Linked DNA regions of Coturnix japonica. The protein of the gene in region 2 interacts with the protein of the main gene of each other region in a biochemical or structural test. Links are inferred from orthologs where the notes say so. Each region holds a gene or a part of one and is shown on either strand. Other genes may lie near its edges.

The links.
Region 1: the proteins of NMUR1 (region 2) and NMU form a complex in vitro, tested with the Homo sapiens proteins (2 studies listed by BioGRID). The link is inferred for Coturnix japonica from reciprocal best matches to the Homo sapiens genes NMUR1 and NMU.

What each region holds. Positions count from the first base shown.
Region 1 is NC_029519.1:58,656,452-58,660,798, reverse strand, and holds the start of NMU (neuromedin-U), read right to left. Parts: upstream 2,946-4,347; 5' UTR 2,941-2,945; coding exon 2,721-2,940; intron 1,124-2,720; coding exon 1,065-1,123; intron 1-1,064.
Region 2 is NC_029524.1:13,329,946-13,334,376, reverse strand, and holds the start of NMUR1 (neuromedin-U receptor 1), read left to right. Parts: upstream 1-1,399; 5' UTR 1,400-2,730; intron 2,731-3,173; 5' UTR 3,174-3,175; coding exon 3,176-4,070; intron 4,071-4,431. UniProt on the Homo sapiens protein: Receptor for the neuromedin-U and neuromedin-S neuropeptides.

The DNA.
Region 1 (4,347 bases), on a different chromosome or scaffold from region 2:
CAAATCCCATCAATAAATGCAGAAACGTGTAAAACAGCATATTTTCAGTCTGGAATAACTCATTTTCACAAGCTCCTTGTAACTCTTAGGATGTTACCTCCCAAGAGATCATTTTTCTCCCAGGAGCAAAGCACCACCAGGACTTGTTCAAGTGCCGGGCTAAGAACATGACAGTGGTTGAGTCAATACTTGTAAAATGCATTGACAGTAAGGAAGAAATTTACACTGTGCAGCTGTACCCGGGGTGAGTCACTTGCTTTGTAATGTTATCAGAAGCTACAAAATTAAATATCAACAGAACACTTGAAAAGTTACAGCAATGGCAGGGCACACAACTTGCAAGCTGAACCCTCTATCTATGTTATGCTCTGATTCTCCATCTGCTCCAAATGGGTACAAAAGAGCTCATGCCAACACACAAGTAACATCATGGAATAAATTTCAGAGATGAGAATTAAAAGTATAGTTGTGGTTAGTAAAAAATGTTAGAAAGGCAAACTGCAATGGGGTGTTATCCTCTACTTTGTGAATTAAGATGCTAAGATGTGACTGAATACTGTGTCCCAGCCCTGTCTGCAGAACAGAAGAAGCCAGAGACTGATTGAATGAGCTGAAACAGTCAGTGCCTATCATACACCAACTATAAAAGTATCGATCGGGACACTGTGCTGCTTCCAAGAACAGTGACCTCCTGGTCAATGACAGCTAGAGGATCACTGTCACCAAACAGAGCTCTCTGCTGAGCCAAAGCAGTCTGTTCCCCACATGAAATCTCAGCACCAAATCTCTGGATACTGTTCGGAAATCTGGAAAATTAGGTGCTTCACATCTTCACCAATGTCAGAACAGGTACGTGGGAGAAGTAGGATTGGAAGCACCTGAACTTCATATGAGAGAAAGCATGGAGAGGGAAGGCGTGACCACAACAAAGACTGGAATAAGAAATAGCATTCAACTTGTATCCCTGACCTACCAGGGATAAGCTGGCAAGGATGCTCCCAGCCCTCACCCTAGAGCCACGGCCTTTCTGCAGTTGGCAAAGCCAGCCTGCCCGCAGAGCTCACCTCCTTCCACAGCTGCAGTTCCTGCTCTGCCTCCAACGCTTGGGATGGCATCGGAACACCTGGAAGCACAAACAACGATAGCAACACTGCGTAGCAGGGGTCATTCTTGTGAGTATCCTAAAAGCAGCGTGTCCCAAGCGTGTCTGCTCTCGGCATGGTAAGGTTTGCCAGGAGTCATCCAGTTTATCCCTGTGCCCAAGGTTGCTGTCTGTGACCATACCCAGCCAGTTCATGCTCTGTTTTTACCGGTCACTGGTAAGCAGAGATTTTACAGCCTCCCATAAAGTCTATAGTTACCTCTGGTGCTTTTTGTCTCTCCCCAAATAATTGTGCCAAATTAAACAAAGAAAAGGATGAAGGTAGTCTTAATGAGAATAGCCAGGTGAGCAGGATGTGAACCCGGCATCTCCAAGTAGCACAAATAGCAACAGGAATAACTTCCAGGCATAATAGATATGTTGCAAAAGCTCCTTTTGGTATTGACACAGGCTTGAGATCAGCATGAACAGTGATAGAGGGGAGTCTTAACTTCATCCTGCGTAGAAACTGCTTATTTCTGAAATCTCTGCAAGGTTTACATGGCAGTAAAACTGCCTTTCAATGAAAACTGTGCTTTTTTGATGCGTGCTTTAGTTCAAGGAACAGCTCCAAATAAATTAAGTGTGCTACAGTTCTCACTGTCATTGTATTCTGTTCTTAATTCAGAGTGTTCACTTTGGAGCGTTGCCTGGGACTGGTGCCTTGGTAGCCATGAGTGCACCATGATTCACTACCCTATAGGTTTCCTTAACCCTCCTCAGCTCACTCACAGAACTCTGATGGCAGGTGCAGTCTCAGCAGTGCAAAGCAGCATCCCTCCATCACCCTGAACACTGCTGGACCTACACAGGGGCTTTCGCAAGTGTCAGGTGCACGATTTCAGTCATCTCTGTGAGCACAGTGTGATGTGTCGCTGCCTTTCCTCACCCTCCTTTTCCCTCCTTCCTCTCTCCCCCATCTCCAGAATTCATTTCTAACACAGTATGCGGTGCGTTACAAATACCCAGCACAAAAGCTCCTGATGAAAGTGACTCGCTCATCCCCAATACAGGCAAACAGAACTAATTGCTCGGTGCACGGCGACAGGTGATGTAAAGTGCTTCACAAGGTGTAAGCACTTCATGCACGTAGAATGGGACAGCAGGACGGGCAGGGCAAGGCACTGTGTTTTGTTGCAATGCCCATCAGCTGCTCTCACTTTAGAGTGCTCCCTCATATAAAAATAGCGGCTTCCAGGTGTAACACAGCACTCTCAATGACACTACAGATAACCGGTCTCCCTGTTTAAGTAGCTGATCAACTTCGTCCATCCCCACTACGATCACATCGGTTTGATCTACAGCCGTTTTCCCCCTTTACCAGAGCGCAGTTTGGCCGGGACAGAGTTATCCCCAGGGCAGGTGGAGGAGCCCCTCTCCTCACCCCAACCCTTGTCCAGGGACGAGCCCCATCCTGGCCCTGGCCTCGGCACCTCCGCAACCCCCGCACGGATCCCACCCCGCTCCCCCGTCGCAGCCCGACGGAGCGCTGCGAGGCTTTGGGTTTCGCGGGGACGCCGGGGTAACCCCTCCGCCCCCCAGATTTGCGGTGATGGGGCTGCGGGAAGATGCTCCTCACCTTTGCAGACACGCACGGAGGAGGCGAGGAGGAAGAGAAGCAAGAGAAGCGGGGAACCCGGCACCCCCCCGCCGCTGCCCGGGCCTCGCGGGGGGATGGCCGCAGGGAGCTGCTGCTGGCAGAGCTGTGCCATAGCCGCCGTGCCCTGCTCTGCACAACGCTGTCCGTGCCCCGCTCCCTGCACAAACTTTTTAAATCTCCCTGACACGTGGACGAGCATCACCCTGACTCACGGAGCGCACGTCAGCCGCCCTGCCCGCCCCGCCGGCCTCCCTCCCCCGCCCGGGGCAGACCCCCTCTGCTCCGCCGGTGACTCAGCCCCGCTCCCGGCCCCCTGCGGCTGTGCGTGGCCCCGCTCGGCTTCGGGACGGAAACCGGACGGTCTTTGCTTCTTCACCTCACCCCTCGGGGAAAAAAACTCTTCGCTTTAAAAGAACAACCCCAGCTGTGGCCGGCTGCCCCTTGCCGCGGATGGAGGGGGTGGAGGCGAACTAGGGGGGGTGGAGGTGAGATTCGGGCATTGCCTGATGCTAAAACTGGAACCCCACCTGACAGCTGGAGAGCTCTAATCGAGAGGAGGATGAAGCCAGGTGATAAAGAAGCCGCCAGGTGTGTTTGTGGCTGACTCTGCTTCCCCATCTACACCATGGGCAGAATTGCAATTCTAGGGCAGAACTGCAATTCTTTCTAATAAGGAAAGAGAATTTACTGGAAGGAGCAGCACTGTTGCATTTAATCCCCAGAATGACAGCAGAGGAAGCTCTGCACAGCCCCAACTTTGCGATCATAGCGGAAATCAGCTTCTTATCTTGACACTGGGTGAGCCCTATGACAGCAGGGAAGGTGCACACACACCTGAACTGCCACACCAGGAGGCAGAACACAGCGATATGGTGGTACAGCCCATCTGAGGATTCAAAACTCAATGCAGCACCACCAGCACACAAGAAGCACAGCAGGGTGCTGGGCTGGTGCCGGCTGCGCAGTGTATCTGTCATAGGAAGATCTTCTATATCATGTTCAATAGCAAAGCTTTTCTTGATGTGAGTGGAGACAGAATTAATCCTTGTGTTGATGGAAATACTATTTATTGGATCAGAAGAGAAATTTAAAAAGCCTGTATTTTGTATTTGTTATTGTATTCACATCTACCCAGTTAAAAGAGGTGTTTTAATCCAAAACAAGGAACTGCATTTGGTTCTGGTTTCTCTTAATAAAAACAGATATTTATTTAGAAGGCATCATCATAAACTGGTAGTCATTAGAGCTGAAAGGTAACTCCCTCATCTATCTTAATCCAAATACATAAATTAGCACCCTGAGCTTTGGCCTTTGGAGGGATTTAATCTGTTGTGCATTTTGCTAATTAATACCTTCTAATTAAACTGTTCAAAAGATTGCATGGGAAAATAAAGGACAGTATTTTATAAATTTGAAAGTTTAATCCCAGTCAATGTTCTTATCCTGCCTTGAGGTGCAAATAACATTTTATGCACAGCACAAAAATGGTATCTTCTCAGATGGAAGACTTCAGAAATGCACAGAGGTCGCATGGTTGAATTTATGTGATATCTGTTTTAACGTTGCACATCGAACTATTTTGCTGAATCCACTTGCATGAAAACAT
Region 2 (4,431 bases):
GCTGCGAGTGAGGGCTGGGGAGAGGCCGTCCCTGCTTCTCAATGCTCATTTCTCTGCTTTGGTGACTCACACGGGAGAAGGTTTGGAAAGGAATAAATAGAGCCCATAAAGTGTCTCGCTGATGCTTGGGAGGATGCCCTGGGTCTGTGCTCTGTCTCAATGATCCAGAGGAGGTCGTGCTGGAGCGGAGTGATGCCCAAAACACTGTGGGTTGGGCAGCACGTTCTTGGCTGATGGAATGCTCCCTGGGATCAGAACCAAGAGCCCTTTACCAAGAGCAGCTCTCGAGCATCACTGGTGCTCAGTGATGTCATGGGCCTTCTCCCTTTCCTGCCTATGGCTGAGTGCATCCCCAAGTCCTGTTGGAGCCCTGTAAGAGCCCTGCTCTCCTGCCAGGTGCAGAGGCACTTGTCTGTGCCGGCCCTGATTAGCAGAATGATGGTTGCCATGGAGCCCCAGTTACTGCTCTGCACCCCAGTAGACCCAGGGGGGAGGAACACGTGGAGTAGAGGCCAATTGCACTCTTCCCAGAAAGCTGATTGCTTTTATCCCAGCCGACATCTCAATGGGCCTTTCATTCATTTCCTTTCTACTTTCAGTCCGAGGTTTGGGAGGAAAAAAAGAACTGTCCCCTCCTGGGATCTCAAAGATGGGCTGGGAGAAGCTCATGGGGTGACCTGGGGCAGAGCATCCCGAGTGCTGTCCTGCATTCCATAGGATCCCACATCACTTCGGGGCTTACAGTGTCCCCTGGCGGTCATGGGGACAGTCCGGGAGAGATGCTCCTTATAATCTGTATCAGCCAGGTAGGGTTAATGCAGTCAAGTGCCTGACAAGGGGAATGGGATGGAGAGCCGTTCCCCATACACAGCTCCTCCTCTTTATGGAGCAGTAATGGAACAGGAGTTGCCATCTTCCGATGATTTCATTCATCAGAAAATTGGAAAGCGGAATGGATTGCTCTGAAGTGCTGCTGGGCCCACAGGGGACACTTAGCAGGAAACAAATATTGAGGGGTAAAAATGGGAAGCAGCATGCAGTTGCTGGGAGGCACAAACCCTTCCCAAGAGCTGCAGTGATGGAGAGGTTTTCAGGAATGCTCCCTCTTTGAGGTGGCCTTTGTGGACCCATCATGGATCCATCCCAGCCTTGGGTGTGGATGGGGAGAATGCAGCCCGGGCATCAGCAGGGAGAAAAACCTGTGCCTCCTCCAGGCTAGCAGTGCCCAGATACAGGTGCTGAATGCAGTGAGTTGCACTGGGGCTCAGCCTGGGTTTCAGAGGTAACACAGGACAGGAGGCATAAAGTCTGTCCTGGTAGATCTGTCCTGCCTGCTCTTTTCCATCTCCTCCAAGATCCCTGCTTTGCCTGCTCAAACCCAGCCCTGCTGGATTCTCTCCCAGCTCCATCCTCTTTGTGCACAGCCAGGATGGAACAAAGATGGGATGGACAGAGGAAGGTCCCAAGGATGATAACACCTTTCAAGGTCCTACCTCGAGTGCTGGGTCTCTGGATCACTACCAACCCCTTGACACCCTCAAGGGGACAAAGGGTGATGCTGGCCGTGGGTGCATGTCTTCAGCTGTACAGCCAAAGTGCCATGGAGCCACAGCAGGGCAGAGACCTCAGACTCTACACATTACCTCCTGAGCTTGTGTGGTGGGAGGACAAGGGGAGACCCCTGTTAACTGGAGGCAGCAACACAGTGCAGTTGGAGGCAGGGACGGGGATCCTGGGGGCTGCTGGAACCACCTCCAGAGATGATGATGACCACATATTCAAACGGAGCCACTGGAGCAGGATTCGAGCTGGGTGCTCAGCTGCTCCTCCGGCTGGAAGTTGAGCTGAAACTGACTTGAAGAAGAAGAAGAGGAGGAAAAAAAGAAAAGCACAGACTTTTGGAGAGAGGGGACGGGCAGCCTGTCATGGTGCACGGGGACATGTGAACGCATGGGGTGTGTGGGGGGTGTGCGTGTGCACGTGTCTGCATGCCTGCAGAGCCGGGTTGTTACAGTGCAGAGGACGGGCAGACGGACAAACAGACACACAGGATCGCAGACAGACTGACGGACAGGCAGCAGGAGGGATCCGAGCCCGGCTCATAGCGAGAGCTGATGCCGCGATCGCAGCAGTGATGGGCTCCAGCTCGGGCAGCGCTCCGCAGCCGGCGGTGGGGAGGACCCAGGGGTCGCACATCTGGGAGCCCGGGGACCCCGAGCAGCCGCTGGTTCCGTCTGCGCCCTCCCTGCAGAATTCCGTCCAACTCCGGCCCCCGCGCCCGCTAGTGTCGGCAGAGCAGCGCTGATCGATGCCTCCTTCACTACGCAAATGGCAAATCACCGCGTTGTGAAGGCTGCTGGTGGGGATGGAGACGGCCGTGCTGCCCTCCCCCGGGACTCACTCGAGTCAATGGAGTTTATGACTTTAACGTATTTCCTCTCCCCTCCTGAAGAGCATCTCCTCCGCGGTGCCGCTTTGCCGGTCTGGGCACTGGGTTTGGGGACGAGAGGAAGACCCCTGGGAGCCCCCCGCTGACGGAGGAGAGCAGCAGCTGGCGGAGAGGGGCAGCGGGCTGCCGAGATCTGAGCTCCAAGTGGAAAGCGGGATTCCTTTCTCCTGCCTCTTAAGGCAGCGACGTCTCCATCCCCTCCTTCGCTCCCTCCCCGTCCGACCCTGTCTGACATAGGGGTGCTGGGACCTCATCCTGCCTTCGGAGCTTCCCGGCGAGACGTAAGTTCTTCCTGGGGAGGAGGATGAATTTTCCCCTTGCCTATTTCACCTCTCAGCCCCTCTGCACGGGGAGCTGGAGCTGGGGCAATGCATGATGCGGTCCGGGGTTGGCTTCGGGGCTGTGTCCTGTGGGATAAGTGAAGAGGGGACAGCCCTGCCACAGTGTCCCCACAGCTGGGACAAAGGGACCACAGTCAGGTGAGGGAACTGCCAGGGCTGTTTGTAGATGGGACGTGGGGCAAGGGGAGCTTGGGGTTCCTATAGGGGGAGGTTTGGAAAAATTTGGGTGCTTTCCCAGTGGAAAAGCTTTTGCTGGGGCAGGATGGGGGTGCTGAGTTGTGGTGATCAGCAAAGTCTTGGAACCCCAATGGGAAGAGAGGATCAGGCTCAGGAGCAGCAGAGGGTTTGGGAAAACACCCTGTGAACTGCCACGTCTCCCGCAGCCATGAATCCCTACATCATCTGCTCTGGCCCTGAGCTCCCCCTGCCCCAGCGAGACTTCCCCATGGAGCCCCCCAGCCCCGACCTCTGCAACAGGACTCAGCCTGGTGCTTTATTCGACCCCAAAGATGCCAACCTGACGGAGGAGCAGCTGCGGCATAAATACTTAGGGCCTCGGAGGTCCAACTTCTTCATCCCTGTCTGTGTGATCTACCTGCTGATCTTTGCTGTGGGGGCAGTGGGCAACACACTCACCTGCATCATCATCCTGCGGCACCGCTTCATGAGGACGCCCACAAATTACTACCTGTTCAGTCTGGCTGTGTCCGACCTGCTGGTGCTGCTGCTGGGGATGCCACTGGAGCTGTACGACATGTGGAGCAATTACCCCTTCCTGCTGGGGGCTGAGGGCTGTTACTTCAAAACGCTGCTCTTTGAGGCTGTCTGCTTCGCTTCCATCCTCAACGTCACCGCCCTGAGCGTGGAGCGCTACATTGCTGTGGTGCACCCACTCAAAGCTAAGTATGTGGTGACCAGGAACCACGCCAAGAGGGTCATCATCACCATCTGGGTGGTGTCAGTCATCTGTTCCATCCCCAACACCAGCATCCATGGGCTCCAACCTCTTTATGTGCCTGGCCGGGGCCGTGTGCCTGATTCGGAGATCTGCACTCTGGTGAAGCCACGCTTGATTTACAATCTCATCATCCAGATCACCACCATCGTCTTCTTCTTCCTGCCCATGGGCACCATCAGCATCCTCTACCTGCTCATCGGCCTGCAGCTCAAGAAAGAAAAGATGCTGGAGGCCCTGGGAGCCAAATCCAGTAGTGACAGTGACTATGACAGAGTCCGGAGACAGAAGAAAGTGAAGAGGAGACAGGTCACAAAGATGCTGTGTGAGTCTGAGAACAGGCAAAGCCAATGGGGGTGTTGGAAGGGTGCTGGGAGGAAGCAGAGGTCTTGGTCATCCTTGGTCATCCTGGAGGAAGGTCGTGGGGGCAAAGGCAGAGCTGGTGGCTGTGATCCAAGGGTGGGGTCTGCTTGTGGTGGCTCATCCAGGAGAGCCCTGGGTAAGAAAGGGGAAGGGACAAGGCTGGGGTGGTTAACCTGTCCCTCTGCTAACCCAGATTCCTCTGCCCTACAACCTTGGGGTGTTGTGGTTGTCTCCAGCCCTACTCCTTCCTATGAACATGAGGCTCTGACCTGAGGATCGACCAGAGCACCCCTCTGTCCCACTTCACTCCCATCCCTGTCCTT